4 linked regions of the Saccharomyces cerevisiae S288C genome follow. Changing the gene in region 1 together with any one later gene gives a genetic interaction. Each region holds a gene or a part of one and is shown on either strand. Other genes may lie near its edges.

Region 1 (9,185 bases):
TGCATTCAACCCTAAATATTCGATGTTTGTTACCGCAGACGAAACAGTAGATTTTTACGTGTACGATGAATGACTGCTGCTACTGCATTGATATACTAGAGGATATAATATATAACGAACATTTTTTACCTACTGTATAACGACGTATACTCTATACATCTTGTGTATTCTTTACAAATAATCGTCAATGTTGGGGTACCTTACGTCAGCGTTCTCTTCACACCATTCTGACCAACTTTTTAGGTACTTGTTACCGCACCTTTGCAGAACTTCTATATTGCCAACAACAACTAGTTGCCTTCTGGGTCTTGTCATGGCGACGTTCAGTCTTCGTTCTTCCTTAAGGAAACCAACTTCAAATTTTTCATTGCTACGAACTAAACTCAATATGATAACATCTTTTTCACGGCCCTGGAACCCATCTACAGTTGATATTTCAATATCAGTTAATTTTAATTCATCATGGATCAATTTTTTCAGATGAGAAACTTGTGCATTGTATGGAGAAATAACACCTATAGAGTTCTCCGGGACGTTGAATGACCTTAAATTCTCAATGTGTTCTTTTACAATGGCAATTTCGCCCTCATTATACTTAGATCCAAGGATAGTAGCTTCATCTGCAGTCTCTTGAAATTCATCACCTTGCGTATCATACCAAATTAAAGGAATTTTTGTATCGTCATCATCCTCAGATGGCGTAGCATCGACGGTCGGTAGGTCTATCAAAAGTCTGTTCGCGACCGTTGCATCGGCCAATAGTTTCCCATTATACATTGAGTGCGATGGAAATTCCATAATTTTTTGATTCATCCTGTATTGAACGTTAAGAAATTTTACCATATCCCTTTTCGGGAATATTTTGATTATTCTGTCAAATAGTGTGGTTTCCAAATTGTGAATGACATTTTTGTCGTCTTCTGTTTTGATTGTGGGTGGCAATTGTTTATTGTCACCAGCAAGGACTAGTTTGTGGAACTGATTTTGATGTGCAATTAGTGGGATCCAGCATTGTGGTTCCATGGCCTGTGAGACTTCATCGATGATCAAGGTATCGAAAAGCTGGAAATTTGGATCATCTCTATAAAGGGAGCATAGTTCTCTCGATGATGAACCGTGTAAAGTGGTGACGACTATTCTCGATTGTATTATTAAGTCCTTAATGGTTTTGAACTCTCTTTTCTTTAAATCTTTGCGCAGCAGTTTAATTTCGTTCCAGTTTTCTTTACGTTGCTTATAGTTTTTTAGTTTTTTATTCTCCTGAATTAATTTGTCAATCTCCTGGGAAATGTCCTTCACAATAGTATTCTTTTTACTAAGTATATCAAGAGAGTGTCTTTTATTAGAGTCTAATAGCCTAGCAGGATGACCGATTCTTAATAATAAATTATTCGGCACAAGAGGCGTTAGCCTCTCCAGAATCGTATCCACAGAAATATTGGAAGGCCCACAAATTAAGATTCTCTCCTCAGGATTTTTAATTAGCAATTGCTGGATCAATTCAATTAATGTGAATGTTTTACCCGTACCAGGAGGACCATGTATAATGGTCAAGTCATTGTTAATGGCAAAATTAATGGCAGTTTTCTGGGAGTCATTCAGATTCGGGTTTAAAAAAGATTTAATGTTTTGAAAGCTGTTTGTATTGGGGATGAAGGGGCGTTCGTTTACCAAGTATTGTATAATTTTGTCTTGTATGGGTGAACTAATTTCAGACAGTTTTCTCATTGTGGATTCCATTCTATTATACGTGACGACATTGGTAGTCTTTAAAATGTAAAGTTTGCTATAAGAATAAAATGTGGTAGCAATAACATCTTGAGATTCTTCTAGAGCTATGGTGATTTGAGTATCACTCATTTTGTAGACAACGCCTGAGCATTCCGCTTGCTCGCCATTGGAGTCTTCAGACACCTTTTTGACTTTGGGCTTAGTCTTGGTATTTACTTTGGTTTTTGCAGGGCGTACCAAAACAATATCACCAACCTTAATATCACCCCTTTGAATTTTGTCGTTAACCGCCAAGTTAGGTCCCAGTTCCATATATAATTTGCCAATGAGACCGGATCTTATGTTTTCTAGATGTATGTTGTTTATTGCCAAGCCATTTTGCACCAATTGTTGGATAGATAGCGTTGTTAATAGCCTAGAAGTTGTTTGAATGTCTTGTTCACGTTCATGCTTGATGCTTGATAAAAACTTAGAAGCCAATTCTTTGTTCATTTCCCTCTACTCTTTTTTCTATATTTCTCAAGAGACAACTTTACATCAGCCTTCATATTTTTGAAATATATGTAACGTACAAGATTTTCTTAGCGTAAGGATATGCAGGCGCACATTTGTGTATATATGACAGTAAGAATGTTTAATTATAATATTTGCCAGTTATATAAACCTGTGAAAAAAATAATAGAATATGGTGCGTAATATATAGAGGTAAAGGGTACTACATCACATTCAAATTGCCGAATCTGTCCTTGTAACCAGGTACGTCCCATTTACCCTTCTTGACCATCTCTTCTACCTTAGCATCAATTTCAGGTTTGATCTTTGTCAGGTCGTCAACAGTTAATTCATCGAAAGGTCTTGCAGATTGAATATTATCTAAGGTGCTTTGCAAATCCTTTAACTCCTTGGAAACTAAGGATTCTGTCTCCTTGGCGTTGGTCATTGCGTGCTTTTCAAAAGACTCAATCACTTGTAATTGTTTGGAGGCATCGATTTTGACCGGCTTATATTGCTTAACGTATGATTCTATCTTGTCAATGACTGAAGTGTTTTTCAACACAGATCTATAATGACTGAAATCTACTTCGGTGGGTTGACTTTGCAGCTCTAGTAATTGTCTACGTGCCTCATCGTTTCTCTTTTTAAAACTCGATAATTGAGTGGCAGTCGACCCTGTTATACGTAGAGAAGAGATGACTTTTGCCCAGTCAAGTTTGTTAGCAGCGGATTTGGCCAAAGACATAGTCGAACAAAAATATAATTAGGTGATTCTGCAATTAAGTGCACGAAAAATTTCTTTTAAATCCTAAGATTGTTCTTTTGCGTTACGTGTCAATATGAATATATAAACTTATATAGAAAAGTATTGTACTAGTAGAAATATGTTTTACACCTACGCTAAGCAGCAAGTGGTAATTGGTGTATCTTTTACTTTTTTGGGGGCATCAAGACAAATATCCAATCAAATCGAAGAGAAAATAATTCTTGTAACCCGCTCATTAGTCACGTGGTCATCACGTGAGCATAATATATCACGTGATATACACCCATACCTCGTTTATGGGATTGAGTCATCGGATATGTCATTATAAACGATATTTCTCCGCGGCAATGAGGTGGCGAATATTGGAGTAAAAATGAAAACATCCACCAGGTGCTTGATGATATACTTGACTTCGGCGGCAATTTAAAGCTTTCTAAGCAGCAATTAGTAAGTAACCATTACAATAACGATAAATACGACACTGGTCCAACTAACTCATTGATAGGATAATTGCAGTGATCTTAACGAGTTTAATGGTGACCGACCAAGGCAGTAGGCATTCGATACAATCTAAGCAACCAGCCTACGTTAATAAACAACCGCAAAAAAGGCAGCAGAGATCTTCTGTCGCATGCCTTTCTTGTAGGAAACGTCATATAAAATGTCCTGGTGGTAACCCTTGCCAAAAATGTGTTACGAGCAATGCCATATGTGAGTACTTGGAGCCGTCAAAAAAAATTGTTGTGTCGACAAAGTATCTGCAACAACTGCAAAAAGACTTGAATGATAAAACTGAAGAGAATAACCGCCTGAAAGCTTTGCTCTTGGAGAGACCAGTGAGTGTACGTGGTAAGGATAACAGCGATGATGACGAGAGGCATATAAACAATGCACCCTCAAGTGACACATTGGAAGTATCCAGCGCTCCGGCGGCTCCTATATTTGACCTCATGTCCAATAGTAACACTGCGTCCGATAACGATAACGACGATGACAACAGCAACAGAATCACAAATAATAGGAGCTATGATCATAGTTTGGAAAAATACTACAAAAAGGCCATCAGCATCTTTAAACAACCAGCTAATGCTAATGGCGAAAATGGCAACGGTGCCAATGGTCATGAGGATGATGATGAAGATGATGAAGAAATATCAACAAATTTTGCTCAAAGAAGTGGTAGGCTCATAGAATCTCACAATGGATTCCATTATTTTGTTGGATCTTCTTCAATGACATTATTTGGGTTAGAAATTCAATCTTTGGTTACAAAGTATATTTCGGTCAAGAATTTTCGACCTTTGCCAATAAACACCAAAAACAAGATTTTAAATTCAAACCTGAACCCGGCTATAAGTTCTTTTATCAATTCAAACAACTATCTTTTCTCGTCCTATAATTTTTTGAACCCTATATCGACTATTGTCAACTTAAACTCAATCAACGATAATTTATCTCCATTGATGTTTAAGATAATTTTGAAAAGCGATACGGATGGTAGTAGTGGCCAGGAAGAGGTAATACAGTTTCAGTTGCCTTCGTATAATTACACAAAACTATTAATTGACTGCTTTATAAATTATAACGATGGTTGTTTTTACTTTTTCAACGAAGGCCTGGTTAAATGTGGCATTAACAAATTGTACTTGGAAAATAAATGGCTATACTATGATAATACCAAAAAAGCTTTGGACAATGAGAATGATCCAATTTTACAAGCTGTTTGGTTTTGCAAAATTTTGTTAATTTTAGCAGTAGGTGAAATGTATCTGGGTTCCATCAATAATGAAATGTTGAAGAATTATTCTAATCAGCCAAAATTGCCCGGTTCAAAATTTTTTCAAATGGGTTCTAAAATTTTTAATTGTTTGTTCTCAAGTGAAAGATTAGAAAATGTGACTAAGAAAGGCGGTATTGAAGTCCTGTTGTTATACGCGTTCTTCTTACAGGTGGCTGATTACACTTTAGCCTCTTATTTTTACTTCGGTCAAGCCCTAAGGACGTGCTTAATTCTAGGCTTACATGTTGATTCTCAAAGCGACACTCTATCCAGGTATGAAATCGAGCATCATAGGAGACTTTGGTGGACAGTTTACATGTTTGAACGAATGCTTAGCTCAAAAGCTGGGTTACCATTAAGTTTCACTGATTATACAATCTCTACAGCACTGCCAGCGGATATTGATGATGAAACTATCGAAGAGAAAAATAGTCACTATGTTTTCAGAAAGGCAGAATTGATTTCTAACTGCGTTACTATTGTGAAAATCAATGCACAAATTTTGAGCAAATTATATCAAAGGCAACCTGAGACAAACATCATAATTACTTTGAAAGTTGTCATCAAGCAGTTGTTGGAATGGAGGAACAATTTGTCCGATTCCTTACAGGTGGATTTTACGCAAAAGGATGAAGATTTCAAAATATCGAGATTGTCAACCAATATGTTTACGGAATATTTTCAAGGAATAAACTTGGCCGTGAGACCTTTATTATTTCATTTTGCATCCATTCAATTGAAAAGGTTCAAAACGAGCAATACTTTCGTCAACTTACAAAACTATTCTGCCACAATATCTTCCTTATTAACATGTTCTTTGCATGCTTCTGTGAATACTATTAGGTCTCTGTGGAGTTTATTACAGAATAGTATGCTTGCTATGTTTAGTTATATGGACAGAGAGTATCTTTTTACTTCTTCTTGTACTTTATTACTATTCAACACTGCTTTTGGTATTCATGAACAAACACTATATCATTTGGATCATTCTCTGGAAATTTTCACACAAATGAGAAACTTAGGCAACATTCCAGCAGGCTTAAGAAGAGCACAATTATTAACATTAATGGCAAATTTGGATTTCCACGGCATAATGAATGACTTGATTACTAAATATAACGATATTTTGAAATTTGATTCTATGAATTGTGAAAACGATAACATAGTAGAAGATAGCAATGAACCCAAAAGAGAAACCGAAAAGTGTAAACCTCACAAAGATGGCGATCGCATTGACCCTTCAATTATAGACTGTGATAAATCAAACACCAATACAAATATGATCAAGAACGAATCTATATCGAACATTGTTAGCATACTTCCGGAAGGCGCGAAACCAACGCTGACTGATTATAGTAATGGTAATAATGATGTTAATGATATTAACGTCAATAACTCGGAACCTTCTACTTTTTTTGATATCATAACTGCGAGCTTGGAAAATTCATACCAAACCACGCTAACTGAAAAGGGCTCTCAGGTGATGGAAAAAAACATGGATCAGTTGGATTCCGTTCATAATCTAAATGATGACGATTTACAACAATTGTTGGAGGATTTAGGCAATATTGATCATTCCGATGAAAAACTTTGGAAGGAAATCACTGATCAAGCAATGTGGCTGGGAAATACTATGGATCCAACTGCAGCTGCTGGTAGTGAAATTGACTTTACTGATTATTTAGGACCATAACACCATTACAAAGACAAAGAAGAAAATACTGATTTCTTTGTTTTCTTATGCATATATTATACATTTCGCACATTATATAGAAAAGTGGACATTTAATTCTTCAAATCTTATTTAAAATATCTATCACAAGACAGCTCATTTACGTAGCCTCTTGACAACATTGTCGCTATCACCTTCTGTCCATAATATTAGCCTTTTTTGTGATTTGACAAGCTCGTTGTAGCCTAATAGTAGTTTTTCAATTCCGTTTTGTTCTTGGGCTAACCTCAAAGTAGTATTTAATGTACCTCTGTTTTCGTTCCGTAAAGTACCAATGTTGTTCAGTATATCGTCCTGTGGTAGTCTAGATTTGATGTTATTGTTCAAAACCTCGAAAAACGACACAATACCGTTTCTGCTAATTAAATTCAAACCACCATCATCTGCTACCCTTTGGACTTTGTAAAAAATAAAATAGATTAGTTCGCGTAATCTTTCTTTCAAGTATGGCATATTGATCAAGTTTAACAACCATTCAAATACACCTTTCTTCTCTAACATCTTGTAATCTTCATCCGTTTTAATTCCCTTACAAATGGTTGTTAAAACCCAACTCAATTCTCCATAGTATATTTCCATATCAATTTCTTTCTTATTGTCATCTTGTTGTCTCTTATTGTAGGACATCATCACATCAGATACCATAGGGATGTCCCAACTACGTATGGTAGAATTTGATAATACCCAGCGGTATGCCTTCTCATGTAAGGGCGCAGTTGGACTTCCCAATAGATCAACAATTCTAGAGATAGAAAACCAAATTAACGGATTGATAGGATCTTGATTTTGTTGTCTCTGGTATAAAATCCTTTTAATCAACACTTGGTAAATGCTATTATATTTGATTAAATCGCTATCAGATTCTTTTCTTTCATTATCCTTGCTAGTTATTTGCTTTTCAAGATTCATCTGGGCAGTTTTCTTCTCCAAAGAAGAAGCTAAATTTGATAAATGTTCGTAACTTATATTGGCAACGGTATGACAATCGCTTAATGAGCAAATAATAAACTGAAATATTTTGCAATCAAGGAAATTTTCAAATTCATATCTGTATGTTACATTGCCCTCGTCATCTTTGACCATTTTTACCAGCTCTTTGTTATGGATTATTAATAGCAGTAAAAATAATGGATCGTACATATCAACACCAGATCGTTCGGTATCATCGTAGTACTTTTTGACTAGGTCACACCTTGTAGTAGCATCATAATTGTTTGTATTAGAATCGGTATATAATTCAGGGACTTGAGGCCTTTCCAATACGTATCTGTCAATGGACTTTTTGATCATGTTTTTTTGTAGTGTTAGTATCAACCCCTCCCTTTCTTTGGTAATCAGCCTCGTGTCTCCAATGGCTTCCAAGATTTCTTCCTCTTCGTCTTTGATAAATTCCCAAGAAAAAATCATGTTTGTCCATGAAGTAGCGGTGTGAGATTCGATAGTTTCTAGAATTTTCAGTATCAACTTGTCGTTACTGGAAATAGTACCGGAGTAAAAAGTCAATAATTTCTCTTGAACTATTGGCGTCGAATTTACGACCGGGTCGATGCTGAATAAAGAGAATAATATCATTGTGCTTAAGAACTTTCGATACGATGAATCTTCATCATTGTCTTTAATCATTATTGATGAGTAACTGTCATTGCTTAATAAAAGTTGAACCATTCTTTGCGATTGAATTGACTTTTTGCTCACACAAAAAATTAATACAATAACGTATTCAAGAACCTTAATTTGTTTGATCCACTCACTGCCTAGAATAGCCTCTAATTGAGAATTAATGATTTTGACATTCAACTTATTTGGTACCTCTTCAAGTTTTAAGAGCTCAGCCATCGCTCTTAGTAACTCAAAAAAAGAATTGGAGATAACTTTTCTTTCTGAAAGGTACTTTGTAAGGTAAAGAAGAGTTTTATGTAACCATGTTTCTACCCCTGGATAAGTAAAATTATTGTGTGCAGCTATGTATCTTACTGTAGCAGCATGATATTTATGGTCGCTCTGTGATAAAACACATTTCAAAATTTCATTTCGTTTCGTTTCGTCATAGAAATCAATATAAGTGGTAATCATATTTAATATTTCGTCAAAAATCTCACTTTTCGAGGTAGTGTAAGTACTTTTCGCAATTTCATTACCATACTTGGAAATGGTTTCATGCGCAAATGCGCTAAAATCTTTATCCTGCATGTGCTTGAACAAAGCAGCCGTTGTTACAATACTTAGTAAAGGTGAATCCTTGATCCTCCAGATACTTGGTATGAAAGATGGGAAAGAAAAATGTTCCCATCTGTAAAAAGCTTTCAGTACTAGATAATTCAAATCACTAGACACAAAACTATTTATCAGAGAAGTAGTTTCTGAAAGGGATAGCTTACCCATAGGATCAGATGAAGCATCAACACAAACTTTGTTTTCTTCAAAAAATTTAGCCAAAGAGATGTTTACTTCCTTAATTGAAGCAGGATCTTCATTTGCAGCTTTGTTCAGTATATTCTTTACAAGGGATATTTTTATAGTTTTTCCTTCGTTGAATAATTTTTGGAGAATGTTTCTTGTGGACTCTAGTTTGGTGCTACACATGAGTAGCGAAGTTAAAGCTGAAGTACTTAAATACTCACTAACACTTGTTAAGAAAGCATTTACATCTTCTTTCTGATACAACTCATTATAGTTGGCAT
Region 2 (4,188 bases), on another chromosome or scaffold:
TTCCAAATACGTTAGTTCCTGGATGACTGTACCAGGGTGTTTATAGAAGAGGAAAAATAGAGTTTCATCTTGAAAAAGGGCAACACGCTGTTGGTCATTTTGGATGGAATTGAAGCATGGTGGAGTTACAGTGGATTGTAATACGCCCGGAATATTGGTGAATGATTCTGGTGTGAAAAATCGGGGCTCCACTTCGCTTCTGGATGTTTCTGCCCACGGTGATTGAAAAGTATCGAGGACTCTGTGATCTTGTGAATCTCTTGGAATACCCAACGAATATAGCATCGACGATAAGTCCGCTCCTAAGGTCATGGAATGGTCATATGTACTTGAAAGTTCTTTGTCCTCTAGCTTAAGGAGCGGTACTAGCGCTTTTAAACCAAATTTTTCCATTATGTAGGGAATAGTATATTTTGATTCTCTTCTCTTCCTGTTTTTCCTTGTGGTTTTTGCATATCTAGTTTAAAAAATGCCTGTTTTGCTATTATCTTATTAATGTTCGCCTCGCTTTTTCGCAGTTATAAAAAAATACTCACATAATAATATACTTCATAACAAAAGAGCTCACTCTTTATAAATCATACACAAGACTCGTAGAAAGGAACTATTAGAAAATAAAGAAATACTTTGTTATATAAAGATGGAAGCAAGACGGTATGGACCGAATATCATTGTTACAGGAACACCAGGATGTGGCAAGTCGTCTACGTGTGAGTTTTTAAAAAATAAACTGAAGGATTACAAATACTATAACATTTCGGATTTCGCCAAAGATAACGACTGTTTCGAAGGATATGATGAGGGCCGTAAATCGCACATTGTCGATGAAGACAAACTGCTGGACATGCTAGAGCCTCTTTTGAGACAGGGAAATAGTATTGTCGATTGGCATGTCAATGATGTGTTCCCAGAGAGGCTGATTGACTTGGTGGTGGTGTTGAGATGCGATAACTCTAACTTGTATTCAAGATTGCATGCAAGAGGCTATCATGACTCTAAGATCGAGGAAAACCTCGATGCCGAGATTATGGGTGTCGTCAAACAGGATGCCGTGGAATCATACGAACCGCACATTGTGGTAGAGCTACAAAGCGATACGAAAGAAGATATGGTATCTAACGTATCCCGTATTGTTGCTTGGGAAAAGATGTGGTTAGAACAACATCCAGATGGAGTCACAAATGAATATCAAGGGCCTCGTAGCGATGACGAAGACGATGAAGACAGTGAGTAGGCGTTCCATAACTTTGTGTATCTACATATATACATATATAATTGTAAATTAGTAACAGTAGTAATAGTAGTGCCTATTATAAAGGGTTTTCTTTAAGTAATGTCATGTACTTGTTTAATGTGACTTTGGTAATATATTTTCATTCTCCGATGCCGATGCCCAGTGGAAAAGTTTAAAGTGAAAAATTTTTCAACACATACAAGTTTAATAAGTTGGTTTTGATGCAAATAGCATTACTAAAGAAGAGCGCTAGGATAATTGTGCATTGCTATTGTGATTTTTGATACAGAAATTATGCACTATGTGGTACTAGAGCTGCAAGTTGCGCATTTGCCAGATACCCCCAAGGATCAATGTCGCATTGCGAATATAGCATTTCAAATTGTGAATGCTGAAACATTAGTATGCCATTATGGGACCAATTCTTTACCGAGCATTGAAGTAAACGGGACGACAAAGAGTTTGGAGAGTGCAATGGTGCAATTGGACAAGGATATTCATGACGTTATTGGTAACGACGACTTTGTTCTTGTTTCCCTGTATTCAACATGGCATATCCGTGTTACCTTACCACGTCAAGCGAGAGATGATGGGTTTATTCTTACTTCTTATTTACAACATCCGAAAGTATTTGACTTATGGAAGGAATTCGATAGATGGTGTGTCAACCATCCGGAGATTTTGGGACAAAAGAAAGCAATCTCCAACAACAATTGTAATACTAAAAGTATTAGTATTAATGCAGCCAAAAATACGAAGGATTTGGACGAAATAGTTAGAATATTGGAAGTTTCAATCCCAACTGAAGAGGCAGGCTCTGTTCCAGAGATATACTCTCTTTTAAAAAGGACAACGGATATATTAATACAATTGCACAAAAAGTGTACTTCCCCTGAAGATATGGAATCTGTCTTAACAAAACCATATGACTCACACACCGATATTAGAGCGTTTTTGCAAGAGAAATCTAAGATTTTGTACATGAACAATTTACCGCCCGACACAACTCAAAGTGAGTTGGAATCATGGTTTACCCAATATGGTGTTAGACCAGTTGGGTTTTGGACTGTCAAAAACATCGTAGAAGATACGTCTAACGTTAATAATAACTGGAGTCTAAATAACAGTCCCTATGTGGAAGATCAAGATAGTATCTCAGGATTTGTTGTCTTCCAAACACATGAAGAAGCAACTGAAGTACTAGCGTTGAATGGGAGATCAATCCTATCTAATCTGGCAAACACTAAGCAACCAAGGGTGGTGGAACATGTCCTTGAGCTTCAACCTTCTTCCACCGGAGTACTCGATAAGGCTCAAGAAATTTTATCGCCTTTCCCTCAAAGTAAAAACAAACCAAGACCAGGTGACTGGAATTGCCCATCTTGTGGTTTTTCAAACTTTCAAAGACGTACTGCATGTTTTAGATGTTCTTTTCCGGCACCATCAAATAGTCAAATACATACTGCGAACTCAAACAATAATGTTAACAGTAGTAGAAATAATTTAAACAATCGCGTGAACTCGGGATCTTCAAGCAATATTAGTAACACTGCAGCGAATCACCCCTATGGTGCCCCTGAGTTCAACATGATTGCTAACAACACGCCAGCAGCTTTAACATACAATAGAGCTCATTTTCCTGCAATTACGCCATTGTCGCGACAAAATTCATTGAACATGGCACCATCGAACAGTGGGTCGCCGATAATTATAGCGGATCATTTTTCGGGAAATAATAATATAGCCCCAAATTATCGTTATAATAATAATATTAACAATAACAACAATAATATTAACAATATGACCAATAATAGATATAACATTAATAACAACATCAACGGTAATGGGAATGGTAATGGGAACAACAGTAATAACAATAACAATCATAATAACAATCATAATAACAATCATCATAATGGTAGTATCAATAGTAATAGTAATACCAATAATAATAATAATAATAACAATGGTAACAATAGTAATAATTGTAATTCCAATATCGGTATGGGAGGATGTGGCTCCAACATGCCATTTAGAGCAGGAGATTGGAAGTGTTCCACGTGCACGTATCATAACTTTGCTAAAAACGTAGTGTGCTTACGCTGTGGTGGTCCAAAATCAATAAGCGGCGATGCAAGTGAAACCAATCATTACATAGATTCATCAACATTTGGACCAGCGTCGCGTACTCCCAGTAATAACAATATTTCTGTTAATACTAATGGTGGTAGCAATGCTGGTCGCACCGATGGGAACGATAACAAAGGTCGTGATATTAGTTTGATGGAATTTATGTCACCACCGTTATCGATGGCAACAAAGTCAATGAAGGAGGGAGATGGGAATGGTAGCTCGTTTAACGAGTTCAAAAGTGACAAAGCTAACGTTAATTTTTCCAATGTTGGTGATAATAGCGCTTTCGGTAATGGTTTTAATAGTTCAATACGTTGGTAGTTAGGAACAGGCGAGGTCAATAAATTTCACACAACCACATTGTATTTTTTATTTTTACACTTTTATATATTTATATACTTTTTCTACCCTTACTTTTTTCTTCAGGTCTAACTGATTGCTGAAGAACGTAATTGTGCGCATATATATGATATTTGATAGAATGTAGGACGTTGATTTTCAAAGTATTCCAGAAAATTTGAGTCATGCTTACTTAGTTTAATTAAGTACTCCTATTTTATTTCATCAGACTTCAAGACGGTTCTTAAGCAATCACCGTTATGCAAATCTTCAAAGGCTTGATTGATTTCTTTGAATGGTCTCCTGTGAGTGATAAATTCTTCGACTTTTAAGGCACCTTTTTGATAGTCTTTAATTAAACCGCCCATTTCAGATCTACCTTTGATGCCACCAAAAGCAGAGCCTTTCCACACTCTACCAGTGACCAGCTGGAACGGCCTTGTAGAAATTTCTTCACCAGCGGCAGCCACACCAATGATAAT
Region 3 (8,102 bases), on another chromosome or scaffold:
CCTTTTATGGATTCCTAAATCCTCGAGGAGAACTTCTAGTACATTCTACATACCTAATATTATTGCCTTATTAAAAATGGAATCCCAACAATTATCTCAAAATTCACCAACTCTTCACATACATACCTGCGGTAGCAAGATAGGTACACTTTTTCTACGTTTCACGAAGGTAGCGATAGGTACCTCACTCATTGTAGGTGCGGGGGTAGCGATGGAGGTTTCTGTACCATTACCACCACAGCCACTATACTCACGTAGTGAAGTCCCTAGCGTGGAATTGTGTGGTATCGTTGCTATCTGTCGTTCGCCACCCTCGGTATATCCAACGTGCAGGCCAATATCACTCTCTAAGAAAATCGTATCAGGATTGGTACGGACAAACTCTTCATAGCCTACGTCGAAATCAAATTCTGCTAAAGCTGTGACTGTAGTTAAACCTAAAACCGCGATTATTGCTTGAAAAACTGTGGAGAAATTCATGATGGACGGTCACGTTCAGGGTCTGAGAAAACCACTCATTCCTATGTCCCATGTGGTTGGTTGCAATTTGCTGCTATATATACGACTTGGCTGTAGAGAGATCTACGTAGGATGTGTCCACTATCAAGGGGGGTTTACCAACGTTATCTTCTATTTTAAGTGCTCAAATGAAGGTTGCATTATATCCCTGGCAGTTTTCCCGGCAATTTTGCCGGCCGCTTATAATAGTCATGGTGAAAGGATTGTTGCTTGTTGTGGTTGCAACATGACAGTTGCCTACTAACTAAATAATAATCAAAGTCAGTTTCTCAACAATGGAAAACCTGTTGTGACCTTATCGAAGTAACAACATCGTATAATAATTAATCTGGAAAAAATACCATAGTTACTGCCGATACAGGTCTACGTGACTTACTGACAAACAGACTGAGTGACTACGAGTCCAGAAATTTAGTATACCATATTGTCGCTTCTTCTTATAGCCCAGCTCCAGGTCTGGATACGGTTCTGTATAACTCGTTAAGGTTTAAGTGTCCGGCAATTTTTTTGAAGTTTCATTTCTTCACTCGATGACCAAGCCGTGTGCCATCTTTTCGTTTTCTTTTTTTTCAATGTGTTTAATTATCTACAAAGAGGGCACACACAATAGAGCTGATGAGAACCCATGAGCGAAACAAGTAGAAAAGCAAGACGTAAACGGAATCATGGTGGTGTGTACATTTCTCTTTTTTTATTACACCAAGAAAGCTTAATTGGTACGTATTGTTCGTGATAGTAGCATGAATCTAGCGTGGAATTCTTTTATTTAAGGTCGCGTTGTGACGACAAAACATTAAAAAAACCACATGTGTTGATTTGTAGACTTGTATACACTCCAGTAAGAAGGTGCACACCAAAATACATGCGCATATAAATTATTTTATATAGCATGCTATATTTCGTAAATTCATAAAATTTCGTTAATTCATAAAAACAGCTCCCCAAACTTAGATGAGTGGCTGCAAGGGTTCTGTCTTGTAATCAACATCTACCATTGCGCCATCGTGTTTACATACAACTTCGACAGACACCTTGAATTTCTTGGCGTTCAACTCCGTTTCTTCGCCATAATTCCAAACAATCCGGTCAAAGGATTCCTGCTTTTTCTTATCGTGGAATTTCAATTCTGGCTTGTTGATAGCGGTTTTGATGTCCTTTAGCAGGTGCTTCTCAACATGCTGGTGTAAATGGCGAACAAACTTCTTAGAGTGCGAATTGGCAGTCTCTTTGATCTTTTCCGGATCATCATGCGCATCATGCAGGACAAAGGGTGGATAGTACTTCAGTTGGCAATGGACATGGTCGAACTCTTGATCTTCCGTCTCACCCTTTAAATATGTTTCAAAATCATGCAAATCCTCAAAAACCTTTAAGGACTCACCACTTTTTGTAGTGATGGTGGACATCTTAGGACCCTTTGCTTTCTTATCCTTTTTCGTCATTCTTATTATTTAAAATACTTTGTTATATACTGTACGTTGTTTCGTTTGCACTTAATCGTGTTTCGACAGATAGGTGAATCAAGATCTACCTTTACGCGAAAGATACGAAGAATTGAGAAGGAGGTGCAAGGGAAAAGGGCAATAGAGGATTGGGACAGCCGATGCTTATATACGGACGATTGCCAACCGCCGAAAAGGTTCAAGCCAAGAACAAAAAGTAGAGAGAATACCCCAACAATAGCATTTGATGGCTAAACGGCAGTGCCCGTTAATACTATTCAAATTATACCCCGCATTAATAATTCCTGTCCCTTTAGTCTCGTCCTTCAGCCGTATAGCCGCAAAACTTCGTTCAATGATTTCATGCCATCATTACACCGCGAGTCGTGGGTGCATTGTAGTTTATTACGAAAAGTATCTACAATACTTGCTTAAATAACCTACATTGTTTTAGGCACTATGGCCGAGTGGTTAAGGCGACAGACTTGAAATCTGTTGGGCTCTGCCCGCGCTGGTTCAAATCCTGCTGGTGTCGTTATTTTTTTATTTTTATTTTTTTTTTATCGCTTACTGATTATCAGATATCTTCGACAGCCTCACACAGATTGGTGATCACGCACCCATAATCATTTCTTCGGGCATGCTCCTATTAGCCACGGTTCGCAGAATAATCTGCGCGATGTTATTCACCAAGACCGTGGAGTCTCCTTTTCGGTGGGATCCGCTTATATCCGTATGCGTCGGTTGCTTTCTCGGGGAAAGGAAAAGGAGAAAGCCCGGATAACACGACACAAGAGTCATTCGTTATGCACGGACACAGGGAATCGTGCGGAGCCGGGGATAAGAGGCCGTGCTAATTTCCGCGGAACATCGGAATGCAGTGGACAAGTGCCCTGAGAACAAGCGGCGGGCGGGTAGCTGCCACGGAATAGGCGCCACGTTTCCGTGGGTGACTATGACTTTTGATCGATTCCATGTTGTTTTGCCCTGAATTCTGCGCCCCTCGGAGAAGTTTCTTTTCTTTTTTATCTCTTTTTCATCTCTGACCTTCGTTTCCTTTCATATAGACTACGCAGCAGAATCATGGCAGGAGCTATTAGCTGAGTGGGCAGATTACGTTTGCGCACTGTGCATTGTGACAGATTATATTTGCTTCGCTTCTCCCTCTTACTTCTTCAGCATAAGTGTAAGCCATATGTTCCCTGAAATCTTTCTACCGTCGTCTTCTCTTTTTTTTTTTTTTACTATAAATCAATGTGCTCTCTTCCATGATTCTTGCCTTTTGGATCTTCGGTACTTGTGTGGGTGAGAATGGTGTTATTGAGTCAATTCAGGTCAGCTTGGTTCAGTTCTAATCTAGCCCTTTCCCTACTATACAAATACTACTAGCCTTTTTTTTTCTCTCTCTTTCTCTATACCACTACCTCTTCCTCTTCCTTTTTTTTCTCTTCTTTTTCTATTGTCCCCATCGCATCTTAGCATAAACGCATCCGCATTCCCTTCCTACATTTTTCTTTTCTACTAGTTATAGCTTTAAAACCTTCTTTATTCTCTTTCTACCTATTCTTCTTCGTTGCTTATATCCTATACACATATGAACGGTCCTCCAACATTCACTCAATATAGAATAAATAAGTTTTCTGGGAATGGAGCAACTCATAAGATTAGAGAATTACTCAATTTTAATGATGAAAAGAAATGGAAACAGTTTTCGAGCAGAAGGCTGGAGCTGATAGACAAATTCCAACTAAGTCAATATAAGGCAAGCGAACAAGATCAAAACATAAAGCAGATTGCTACAATATTAAGAACGGAGTTTGGATACCCTGTAAGCTGCTCTAAGGAATTCGAAAAGTTAGTCACTGCTGCTGTGCAATCAGTGAGAAGGAATAGAAAACGATCAAAAAAACGCTACGCTCTCAGCATAGCCAATGGCAGTGGCGGCAATGTCAACAACAGCATCTCGTCAAATTCTACTTCTGACGACGAGATCTCTCCGTCGATCTACCAGCGCTCCAATTCGGACTTCCTGCCTAGTTCTAATTATGCTGCAGATTTCCAGTTTTCAAACAAGTTCCAGCCTCTCATGAGTCACCAGAGTCATAACGGAACCATTTTTCCAACCGTGGGCACCCAAAATGACTCATCTCCATCGGTTACTTCGACCCAACAAAAGTATAACGATATAGTCACCATGCTAGTGCACGATCTTGTTACGAATGTCGTACCCCTATCAGAACAAGCTCTCAAGGACCCATATACTGGGCCAAACCTGTCACATTTTGCTACGTCTTCACTCAGCCAGCAACCTAACATTACCACAAACATCCCGATAGATTCTACCGTGCCATTTTTCCTGAGGGAAAAGTTACTCCTACAAATCCAAAGATCAAGAACTTGTCAGGACATTTCGCAGGCTGCAGGATCCATTGATATATACGCAAATCTGGAGATTTTGGGTGAAATGTCAATCCGAATGTCTATTGCATTCGTTATCGAACGATTTTTCTCCAACTTGGTCTCTTCTTCAATGAAGTATATCACTGCCAAGACGTGCTCTCCTGAAAATCTGGCTTTGTTGTCTCAAAGACTGTTCGGTGCCGCTACAAGACATAACTTATCTCATTTCCCCGCGGCTCAGGTACAACTAAGGCTACTGTATTTGGTCATAGGTGGTATTGTCAAGGATTTTGGCTTCGACCCCACGCTTTACCCTTTAAGTGAAATCATACATCATATTGTGATGGTTCAGTATCCTTTGGCTAGTTCCTGTGCGTCAGAACCACCATCATCTTCACCTAACAAGAGGGTTAAGAGAAGCCCTCCTGTCGTTTCAAGTGACGTTATGTTGAATAATAATAACACTCTATCGAATAGAGCTACACTTTTAACTACGCTACCAATGAAGCCTCAATCGGCCAATAAAGATGTTAATCGCAGAGTGATCATTAGATTTAATGATCGCGAGCAAGCCTTTACTTTCCACCAGTTGAGCAATGGACCACCCACGGTGTCTGAAGTTTTGGAAAACTGTAAAAATTTATTTAATATTATCAACAAGAACAAGAATTTTGGTATTTTCCATAACGATAACCTCTTGAACGATGAAAGTTTGGCAAAGTTATTTGATTCCTTTTCCACGAGCGAGATTCATCTCGTAATTAAGGACATTTCCACCATTCCACTACAAGATGCAAAAATACCAGTGCCCATTACGTTGCCCAAAATGTCATGCATAGGTGAAAACCCCTCTATGCCTTCTATTCCATTGGTACCACAAGAAAAAGATGATCCAAAAAAATCAAGCTTAACTGCCTTTGATAACATCCTTAATAGGATCTCTAAATCGCCAATGAATGAAGAAAATAGCAACACTACTTTAAACACTGGCACCTCCACCTCCAACACAAATAATAATGACCACAACGAGTCTGTGCCAGCGCCATACGTTACAAAGAACAAAAATTCTTTTCAAAATGGCAATTTACCACAGCCGGTTTTCCAGCCTTTACTTTGATAAAAATACAAAACAAAATTGTCTACATACATAACTGCCTAATACACATTCTACACAATATTTTTTTCTTTTTCAATTCGCGTACATATTTATGTAAGATAAAATAATAATATCCTCTTAATCCATGCTTAGAACTGCTGCCGTTGATTTTCAAATTCATCCTCGTCAAATGGTGGCAGTTCCATTACATGAATTTTGTACCCCAGTGAATATTCCTGGTCTTGTAAGGATTCGAACGTCAAATCAGACAGCTCTTTATCGTGGAACCCAACAATGGCATTATACACAATTGTGCTAACTTTAAAGTATTTCGCCTTGCTATCACCTTCGGAGTCAGAGACGTTTCCACTTTGTGCAAAAGTAGTTGGCAAATTTCTATTAAACTCCTCTAATTCATCTTCCGGTAATTCAAACCTCAGTAGAGTTGCTTCTTCATGATCTTCATAAACCCCTACATAGAATTCCCTTGTATTATTGATAGATGTTCGAGGTCCGCCATTTGTGTATGTGCTATTATTTGCACTCCCGTTGGTGTTCTCATTTTCTGATATCTTTAGAGCGTCCATAGATTCATTGAGTAAAGATGCTTCGTTTTGTTGCTGTAGAAACTGTCTTTCCTGTAGTCTTAATAGCTTGGGGCATTTCAGTTTTATAAAATCTTTTAGAACTGTCCATCTTAGCCTTCCAAATTTTTCCAATTGTCCTTTCTCTTTAATTTCAATAACTGTGAACTTCTCTTGGTTCATTAACTCATTGAAATCAGACTCTGATAATTTCTCCAAGAATTCTATAGGTATATAGGGTGGGAAATTTATGATCTTCAGCTGCCACATACCTCTATTCGTCATTTGTTTTCTAAAGCTTTTCTCGTTAAAGATATGCTTTAATCTTTTGTGATTTATTTGAGTTTGTGAAGGTGTAATTGTTCCACCATTCTTTGCTTGGAGGGCACGGTCATCACCATTCGTACTTGTAGTGGGAATATTACCATTATTATTGGAATTTGAGGCCATGTTCAAGTTGTAAAGGGCAGATATTTCGTTATAAGAGGGATTTATCTTATTGTTCCTTAAGGAGAGGTGATGCTGCTGAGAAAGACGAGGGCCTGTGCCAGTATCTGGATTCCTGGGGCTATTATGCATGTATTTTTGAAACTGGCTTTGGTTCTGGTGATAGAAATGCCGACGACGGGGATAGTGTGTAGGGGAAGCAAGTGGACCACCAGCAGTAGCAGCAGCTGTTGGTGAAGGTAGAGTAGTTTGATAGGGCATCTGCATATTAGGTACCGTTCCCGGAGGAGCACCCAACATAGGTAGCATCGAAGTCGAAAATGGACCATGAGGCGGGGGAGCAAGAGGTGGCACACCAACAGGTACGGGAACAGGCGTGGGCAATGGCGTTATGTTCTCATTCTTTCGAAGGCTCACTTCAGGAGAAAAACTGAAAAATTGAGAAGGTGGGGTAGAAGCGGATGGTGGCTGCGGTGTCACAGATGAAACATGGCTTGCATATCGAGGAGAAATAGATCTTTTAGTTTCATCGGGAGCACTCCGGACGTCATTGTTGCTATCACTGATTTCTGGATATCGCAGTGAAGGAGAATCATTAGTGTACGGCAACAGGTAAACGAACAGATCATGATAATCCCATTGGTAGGTGTTCAAAGTAAGTAGTAAGTTTTCCAGGGACTCGTTATCTATCGAGTTCTTCAGAATGACAATGCAACTCTGAAAAGTAATAAAAGGAGGAACCATGGAAGTCATTGGAGGCAGCATTTTCACCTGTAAAATATTGGTATGGTATATGATTCCGCCTATCAAATATTTTACCTGGGCCCAAGTCTTGCCCGGAGGGAGATTATCAATCCTTATGGGAATACCATTTGACTGCGAGTACGTCTTTTTCCTAGGAGCAGCTTTTGTGCTTGCTGTTGAGCTTTCGGTCGCAGAACGGGCAACAAAGGCACTGGCTGAAGCAGCCGACTTGGCACTATAGTGTGGTTCTAGAGTCATTATAAAGCAAGCGTATTGTAAGGAGAGACAGCAAACTCTCGTGTATCAGCCAACTGAACTGGAGGCCAAGACCAATCTAAAAAAAAAAAAAAATGAAAGAAACAAGTGTGGGAGGAAGTCTTGTTAACTTAACAGTTAAGCAAGCGTAAAAACCTTTAGGAAAGCGCACGAAAGAAGGCCAACATTACGACTATGGAATAATACAATGCACACAAACAAAAGGTAACATTTGAAAAATGGAGTAGAGAATATATTCCATTCCCCTAATTTTTTGCGGGTCTTCCAGGGCTGCGAACCCATCGCTCAAAACAAGCGCAGTGTCAATTAAGACATCATTGAACTAAAACGGAAAATTTGCTTGCGCCACACACCCTGGTCAATCGTACCAAGGGATATCACTCTGTACGGGTGGGAGGAAGGCGCGGCAATTAGAATGTGTGGGTGCGGAAGCTCGCCGCTCCCATCAAGAGAGTGGAAGACGTATGGTCTGGGTGCGAAGTACCACCACGTTTCTTTTTCATCTCTTAAGTGGGATTCTTACGAAACACGTCACAGGGTCAAAAGAAAGAGAACAAAAGCAATATTGTAATTGTCTCAGTCCACGGCAATGAC
Region 4 (6,534 bases), on another chromosome or scaffold:
TGACACAGTCAACAACGTACACAGTAACGTTTTAAGCGAAAGCATTTTAGTTGGTAATTAACTAGAAAAAGAAAGTAAACAAAAAATCAAAGGCACGTGTTATTCAAAACTTTTGGGTCCTCTCGTAAACTTTAGTTTTCTATAGTTATTTTTGACTTAGTCAATACATAATAAAAATTACTAAGAAAAGGGAGGGAGTATTTAAAACGTCTGCAAAAACATTACTTTTTCCCAAAAATCCATCCAACTTATATACATTTTTTATCATCCACGCCTTTTTATTTAAAGTGCCTTTCTCTGCAACTGCTCATATGACGATATGAGATGGCAAGTTCAAGTTTGTTACACCGCTTATTGATGTGCACACAGGTACGGAACACGCTAAAATTATAACGGCGTGCTCGAGAGAAAAACCCAACAGGGTTGGTCTGGGCATCTCCAGCAAGCCACGGTTTTAAATTGACAGTGCTTCACACTGCGGTGTTGTCTGGGGCGCCTCTGTATTTGCGGCAACGCGCCTGGTTACGGGCTTGTCTCAGGCTCGTGTGCACCGCACTGTAAACACAGGGAGGATGACTGGGTCAGGTCCCCACGGTTTATTTATAGTAAACAACAATGCGCGTATGTGTGCGTATTAATGCTATAAAAAGAAACGCGCAGTATCAAGCCATCAGATTTTTTTAATAATGGTAAATACGTATGCTGGCATCGTTCCGAAGTCGCGTCTCGGCTGCAAGGTAGGGAAACTTACTGAAAAAGGCAAAGCTCGCATGATCTGGATTTTTTGTTTTGTTTTAAGGGCGTATGCCCTTTGTTAATGAAAAGTAAATATTGATTCTTTAAAAATAAACGCAAGCCCAGTATTTATTTATATACCACAGAAGCAGGCTCCCTACATTACGTACTATTATCTTGAACTATATTACAGTACCATTCTTACCCCACATCTTAGTATACGGAGGAGATTCCTCTTTTTCTCCAATAGTCACTCACCGCATGCCATTCTCCCCTGACATTGCGTATAGCATTAACTACGCTCTTGGGAAATACTTCTTTCATCGTATATCCCATTTCCTTGAGAGTGCTTAGTACGGCTTTACCGATCATGGGGAAGCTTTCCAGTTCTATGCGGTCGGGCAGTAACTGGTGGTGTATACGTGGATAGGCTATCGTTTCCAATATAGGCATGTTATACCAGTACGTCCTCACAATTGTTTGTAAAACACTCGTAGTGATTCTTGAGCCGCCGGAAGCGCCGACCACGAGGTCTGGGATGCCTAATTCTGACAGCACAATAGTGGGTGCAGTGGATGATAGGGGTCTTTTCCCGGGCTCGGGAAAGTTGTATATGGAGGGTGCCAATTCAAAACTATTAGATTTGTTGAATTGAGCGAAATCGTCCATTTCATTATTGAAGATCACCCCGGTTTTTGGGTCGTGTACTAAGGAACCGAACAACAAGTTGATGGTGGTTGTCAAGGAAACAGCATTCCCATGTGAATCTACTATACTGAAGTGGGCAGTTCCATGCGGGTTATTGATATCGTATGCCGGATCATAAAGCGTCCAGTTTTCTAAAGTTTTAAAATTTCCGTCTTGAGAGTTTCTTTTGATTGATTTCACTGCTTTCAAAGCCCATTCTGGATCCAATACCTCTTCTATATGCTTAGGTAATGCTTCGCCTTCAAAATCGCCTAACCTGCTTCTTGCGCTTGCCATCCATTTCATGCTTTCAAGCAAATGATAGGTAGTTTCTTTTTCATAATCGCCCCCTTCTTGATTCTGGAAATTATCCATTATCCTTAACGCCGCAAGTAGTGCAGCCCCGGAACTTGAGCCGCTACTTGTTAATACGGTCATATCGTTATCAGGGATGAAATTGGCGCCCTTCCTAATTTTCATGGACAGTGGTTTAGTAACATGAACATCATACGATGAAACATCCTGCAAGTTCATTATTCCATTGTATTTTGCGACAGTATCAATCATGGATTTTGCAATCCAGTGATCGGGGTCATAAAATGGGGCCACGGAACCATTTTTAGCCAGTTCCATTAGCATGTTAGATAGTGCCGGCCTCTTGATCCAATCGCCTTCTTTCAAAACACCGTCATGGGTAGAATTCAATACAAACGACCAATCTTCCTTCAATGTCAGGAAAACATCCTCATAAAGTTCTAAAGTGGCACCGAGTGCTTCGCCTATTTGCCAACCCACGCTTCCCAGCTTTGCGACTGGTTCAATTAGATCACGCCAATCAACTTGGCCGCTACCTCTTTCTTTAAAGAGGCGATAGAGACCCATCAATTCACCTGGAACACCGACAGCAAGACCCCCTATTTTTGAGCATAGAGAGCAGTTTTCGAACATGAACTTATGTGAATCCATGGGTGCTTTTTCTCTAAAATCAATGGATAGATGATCTTCATCGTCTTTGCCAGAAAAAACTACGTAGCCACCACCTCCAATCCCACTATTAAAAAAATTCACCATACCCTTACAAAGAGCTTGTGTTACTGCAGCGTCTGCAGCGTTAGAACCGGGAAATTTCAGGAGTACCTCATTTATAGTCAAATTACTACAGACTTCTAAATCTGAACTTATAGCACCATGCAAACCGACTTTTAGAAGTTGCCTATCAGGCGTTAAACTAGGACGGCGAGGTAAAGGGTCAATATCGATGTTATGGTGATCCTTATCGCCGCCATCATCATCGTCGTCTTTTTTCAAATATTCTGCAATAATGTCAACATCTCGATTGGCAGACCCTCGAAGGAGATTATTTATTCTCTGCAAAGTCTCCTGAGAGGCGAATGATACCATTTTTGACGGCATTCCGGACACTAACACACCCAGTGTTAACAGAGTGAATATATGCAGTATAAAACAGGTATTTAAAGTCTTGGGGACTTTTCTATTACACAACAGCATAACTGTAAGTCTAGTACGCTACTTTTTGTCTTGTCTTTTTGTGTGCCTGACAACGCCCCACTTGAATCTGCGTTAGCTTTTTATTCTATTATTTAAGATAACTGTGCAACAGGAAGTCACGATCGAACTTTACGGAAGAATTATAATATTGAGAAGTGCTAGTACACACAGGCGCACACACACATATATATATGTATCTATATACGTGTATGTAGATTTGGAAGTCGAATAGATAAATGCCGTTATGTTCCCTCAGAGAAAATTGATAAGCGGGCAAAAGGCGGCACTAAGACGTTCGAAGGGGCGGATCTTTTCTTTTGATCAACAACAGGCACAGCCGCTGAGTAATATAGTTATGATTTTTCTAATCTCATGTAGGTAATAAAATCTTAAAAGTTATTTTTATTTTCACTCTTTTATATGTGAATAGAGACACTTGTATAGAGATAATAAACGGTTCAAACTCTTTTCACTTTCATATGTTCCACACAGTACCTTATCATTGAACACTAGATTTCCGCAAGTGTCAAGGTACATAGGCGGGTAAGCGTTAAGGATAACAGAAAATATTCTTGCTATACTGAAGATATAATATGAGCTCCTAGTGTAGGCGATGAAGGTGCTCAAGTAACGGAGAGGAAAGAGATAGGCAATGACGAGATACTATTGTGAATACTGTCATTCGTATTTGACCCATGACACGTTGAGCGTTCGTAAATCGCACTTGGTCGGTAAGAATCACCTTCGTATAACAGCTGACTATTATAGGAACAAAGCAAGAGACATTATTAATAAACATAATCATAAAAGACGCCACATTGGAAAAAGAGGCAGGAAAGAAAGAGAAAACAGTAGTCAAAATGAGACGCTAAAAGTTACATGCCTTTCAAATAAGGAGAAAAGACACATCATGCATGTGAAGAAAATGAACCAAAAAGAACTGGCACAAACCTCAATAGATACCTTGAAATTGTTATACGATGGCTCACCAGGATATTCCAAAGTATTTGTGGATGCTAACAGGTTTGATATAGGAGATTTGGTTAAAGCCAGCAAATTACCCCAAAGAGCCAATGAAAAATCTGCACACCATTCCTTCAAGCAAACTTCAAGATCCAGAGATGAGACGTGCGAGAGCAATCCATTTCCTAGGTTGAATAACCCAAAGAAGCTAGAACCCCCAAAGATATTATCACAATGGAGTAACACCATTCCAAAAACTTCTATATTTTACAGTGTAGATATACTGCAAACCACGATCAAGGAGTCCAAGAAGCGGATGCATTCCGACGGCATACGGAAACCGTCGAGTGCCAACGGATATAAAAGGAGGCGGTATGGAAATTAACGCTATCAGATTAGATTATTAAATATTATATGTAGACTATATTTTGCCAAAAAAAACAATAGAGATATCAACAACGAATGAAAATGGTATGATGAGAATAAAAAAAAAGGAAATAAAAAAAGGAAAATTAAAAAATTGAGATTAGTTGAATTGAAAAAGGAAAAAAAATGTTTGGTATGCGATAATTAATTGAATGTGCACGATCGTTACTATCATGAGAATTAAAATTTAAAATGTCCAACTTTCGGGCGTGAAGAGCGGTGCCATCTATTATATCTATTTTTATTTCATGCTTTTTCAGCAAGTGCTTGCTTTTCTTCATCGTTGGACTGTAGTTTCTTATCATTACTGCTGCCTGAACGGAGAGATATGAATATCATGCCAATCAACCCAAGTAGTAAAACTCCAACCACTACAATAATAAAAGATATTATGAAAACAGCGAGTATGTTTTCCAGTGGTTCATTATCGAGGTTAAAATTTGAGAGATCCGGGGTCCCAGAAACGAGTGTGTGCACATCTCCGCTTGCTTTCTCATCCGAATTTAAAATCTTTGTCAATAATTTAAAGATCTCATCCCCTATGCTATTCTTGACGCTATGATGATCACCACACATGGATTTGGAGCTTAGTAAGGCAATGTTCGATTGCTCATCGACAAAATCACCTTCGACCATTTTCTGTTTTTATATTTTTATCGTACGTAGTCTATAATGCAAAAAGAATAATTTGTTACTTGTGAGAGAGAAAGCGTACGTGTGCGATTGTGAGAATATGTAGATTATTACCACGATAGAGCAAAGAAGAAGGCTCTCCAAAAAGAATTAGTTATCTCACACTACCAACCGAAAGACTTCCTTAATATATATAAATTTAACACGGTCCTTATACGATTTCTCTTTTATATATTACTACTCTCAGGTATTTATTACTTGGTAACCAATTAGTAATACAGAAGGGAACTACGGAGTTTCTCTACAGACTTAACCCTTTTTTCCTTCTCCCAAAAAAATTTCCTTTTTTTTTCCTTTTTGTTTTTGTTTCTGATCTCGCAAAACTCATCTCTTTACTCTTTTCTGTTAAATCGGCCATTCTTGAATGGACGGGTATCTTTTTAAGCCGCAATACGCGTGCGCACTTTTCACTGGTTTCTCCAGACAGCCCCAAAAGAAAGCGCGCGGTGTTCTATTGTTCCTCATTTTTTGCAGTCCGTTTTTCGGAAATCACAAGTAGCTAGCCCTCCATTCGACCCGAACGATGCGGCCACTGCCCTGGATTATGGCTGCAAAGCCCGACGAGTTTCGAGTCAGCAGGCCCCGCGGCTATAGCTCGAGGATGTGTTCTCGTTTTGTCGCCCTTGAGTAAAAGAAAGCGACAAGGTGTGCAATTGTTATGAGTAGGATTCAGTTATAATTATCACTTAGCATTTGTTCTAAACATGAACACACAACGAATGCCTGTAAACACGCTTGCCGCGCTAGACATGCAAACGATCCTCAAAAAAAAAAAAACGCTCGTATGAAGACCTAATTTACGTATTTTTTTTTTTTTTGTTTTTCGTTTACGCGTTAATTGATCGATTATGAGCTTTTGGGGAAAAGTAATTGCCGCAGCGGCTGTCGTACCGGAAGAGTGTTGTTTTTCATTACCAAAAAGGGATAATAGTGGTTCCTTTATGTGACATTGGTAAGCTGATTGGGCATAATTACTTGCCTGATGACGAATAACGCGAGAACTGCCCATATAGAATCTGACGACGTAAGGAGAAGAAAAAGCGGGAAACGGATTTCTCGTTCTAGGCCTCGGCGGCTCTTAAAATTGTAAAATGAAAATGAGAATAAAATTAAACTATACACAGCTGATCAGCGTTCTAATGAAAAAAAAATGCATTGGAAGGAAAAGCCGAAATACTTCATTTTCTGGGCATTGACGTTCTGTTGCCTCTTGTGCATACACACTTGTTTTTATTGAAATCGAGCTTATTGTAAGAGAACTTGCGCTTATCTTCAAATGCCGCTTTCCTCGAAAAAGCATTTAAACATCATTCAAGATTATTAGTCTATCAAGCTTGTCCAGACTGCTTGTTATTATGTAAAACAAGTATGTTGGTATTGTATTTGATTGCCGATTCTCATATCGCCATACACGAACCAATTATGCATCATAAAAAAAGCGTAGTTCTTTTACCCGACCAACCAACTTCTTCCTTTGTCCTCAATATCAAAGAAAAAAAAAAAAACCCACTGCTCAGATGT

What was found.
Region 2: mutations in PUT3 (region 1) and NRP1 together harm fitness more than expected from each alone (negative genetic interaction), as found in Saccharomyces cerevisiae (one large-scale study listed by BioGRID).
Region 3: mutations in PUT3 (region 1) and VHR1 together harm fitness more than expected from each alone (negative genetic interaction), as found in Saccharomyces cerevisiae (one large-scale study listed by BioGRID).
Region 4: mutations in PUT3 (region 1) and YLR297W together harm fitness less than expected from each alone (positive genetic interaction), as found in Saccharomyces cerevisiae (one large-scale study listed by BioGRID).

The regions. Positions count from the first base shown.
Region 1 is NC_001143.9:405,019-414,203, forward strand, and holds PUT3 (Put3p), read left to right. Parts: upstream 1-3,525; coding exon 3,526-6,465; downstream 6,466-9,185. Other genes in the region: WD-repeat containing protein SWD2, read left to right, coding at 1-73; ATP-dependent 5'-3' DNA helicase HCS1, read right to left, coding at 172-2,223; ATP7 (F1F0 ATP synthase subunit d), read right to left, coding at 2,447-2,971; URB1 (Urb1p), read right to left, coding at 6,601-9,185.
Region 2 is NC_001136.10:160,495-164,682, reverse strand, and holds NRP1 (Nrp1p), read left to right. Parts: upstream 1-1,528; coding exon 1,529-3,688; downstream 3,689-4,188. Other genes in the region: CCR4-NOT core subunit CDC36, read right to left, coding at 1-393; FAP7 (nucleoside-triphosphatase), read left to right, coding at 641-1,234; SFA1 (bifunctional alcohol dehydrogenase/S-(hydroxymethyl)glutathione dehydrogenase), read right to left, coding at 3,919-4,188. UniProt on the Saccharomyces cerevisiae protein: May play a role in chromatin organization.
Region 3 is NC_001141.2:246,436-254,537, forward strand, and holds VHR1 (Vhr1p), read left to right. Parts: upstream 1-3,555; coding exon 3,556-5,478; downstream 5,479-8,102. Other genes in the region: YIL060W (uncharacterized protein), read left to right, coding at 1-391; YIL059C (uncharacterized protein), read right to left, coding at 115-480; RGI2 (Rgi2p), read right to left, coding at 1,467-1,961; YIL055C (uncharacterized protein), read right to left, coding at 5,607-7,490. UniProt on the Saccharomyces cerevisiae protein: Transcription factor that binds to the VHRE consensus sequence in promoters of VHT1 and BIO5, and regulates their biotin-dependent expression.
Region 4 is NC_001144.5:722,466-728,999, reverse strand, and holds YLR297W (uncharacterized protein), read right to left. Parts: upstream 4,957-6,534; coding exon 4,567-4,956; downstream 1-4,566. Other genes in the region: EXG1 (glucan 1,3-beta-glucosidase), read right to left, coding at 1-45; ECM38 (gamma-glutamyltransferase), read right to left, coding at 949-2,931; YHC1 (Yhc1p), read left to right, coding at 3,584-4,279; YLR296W (uncharacterized protein), read right to left, coding at 5,696-6,022.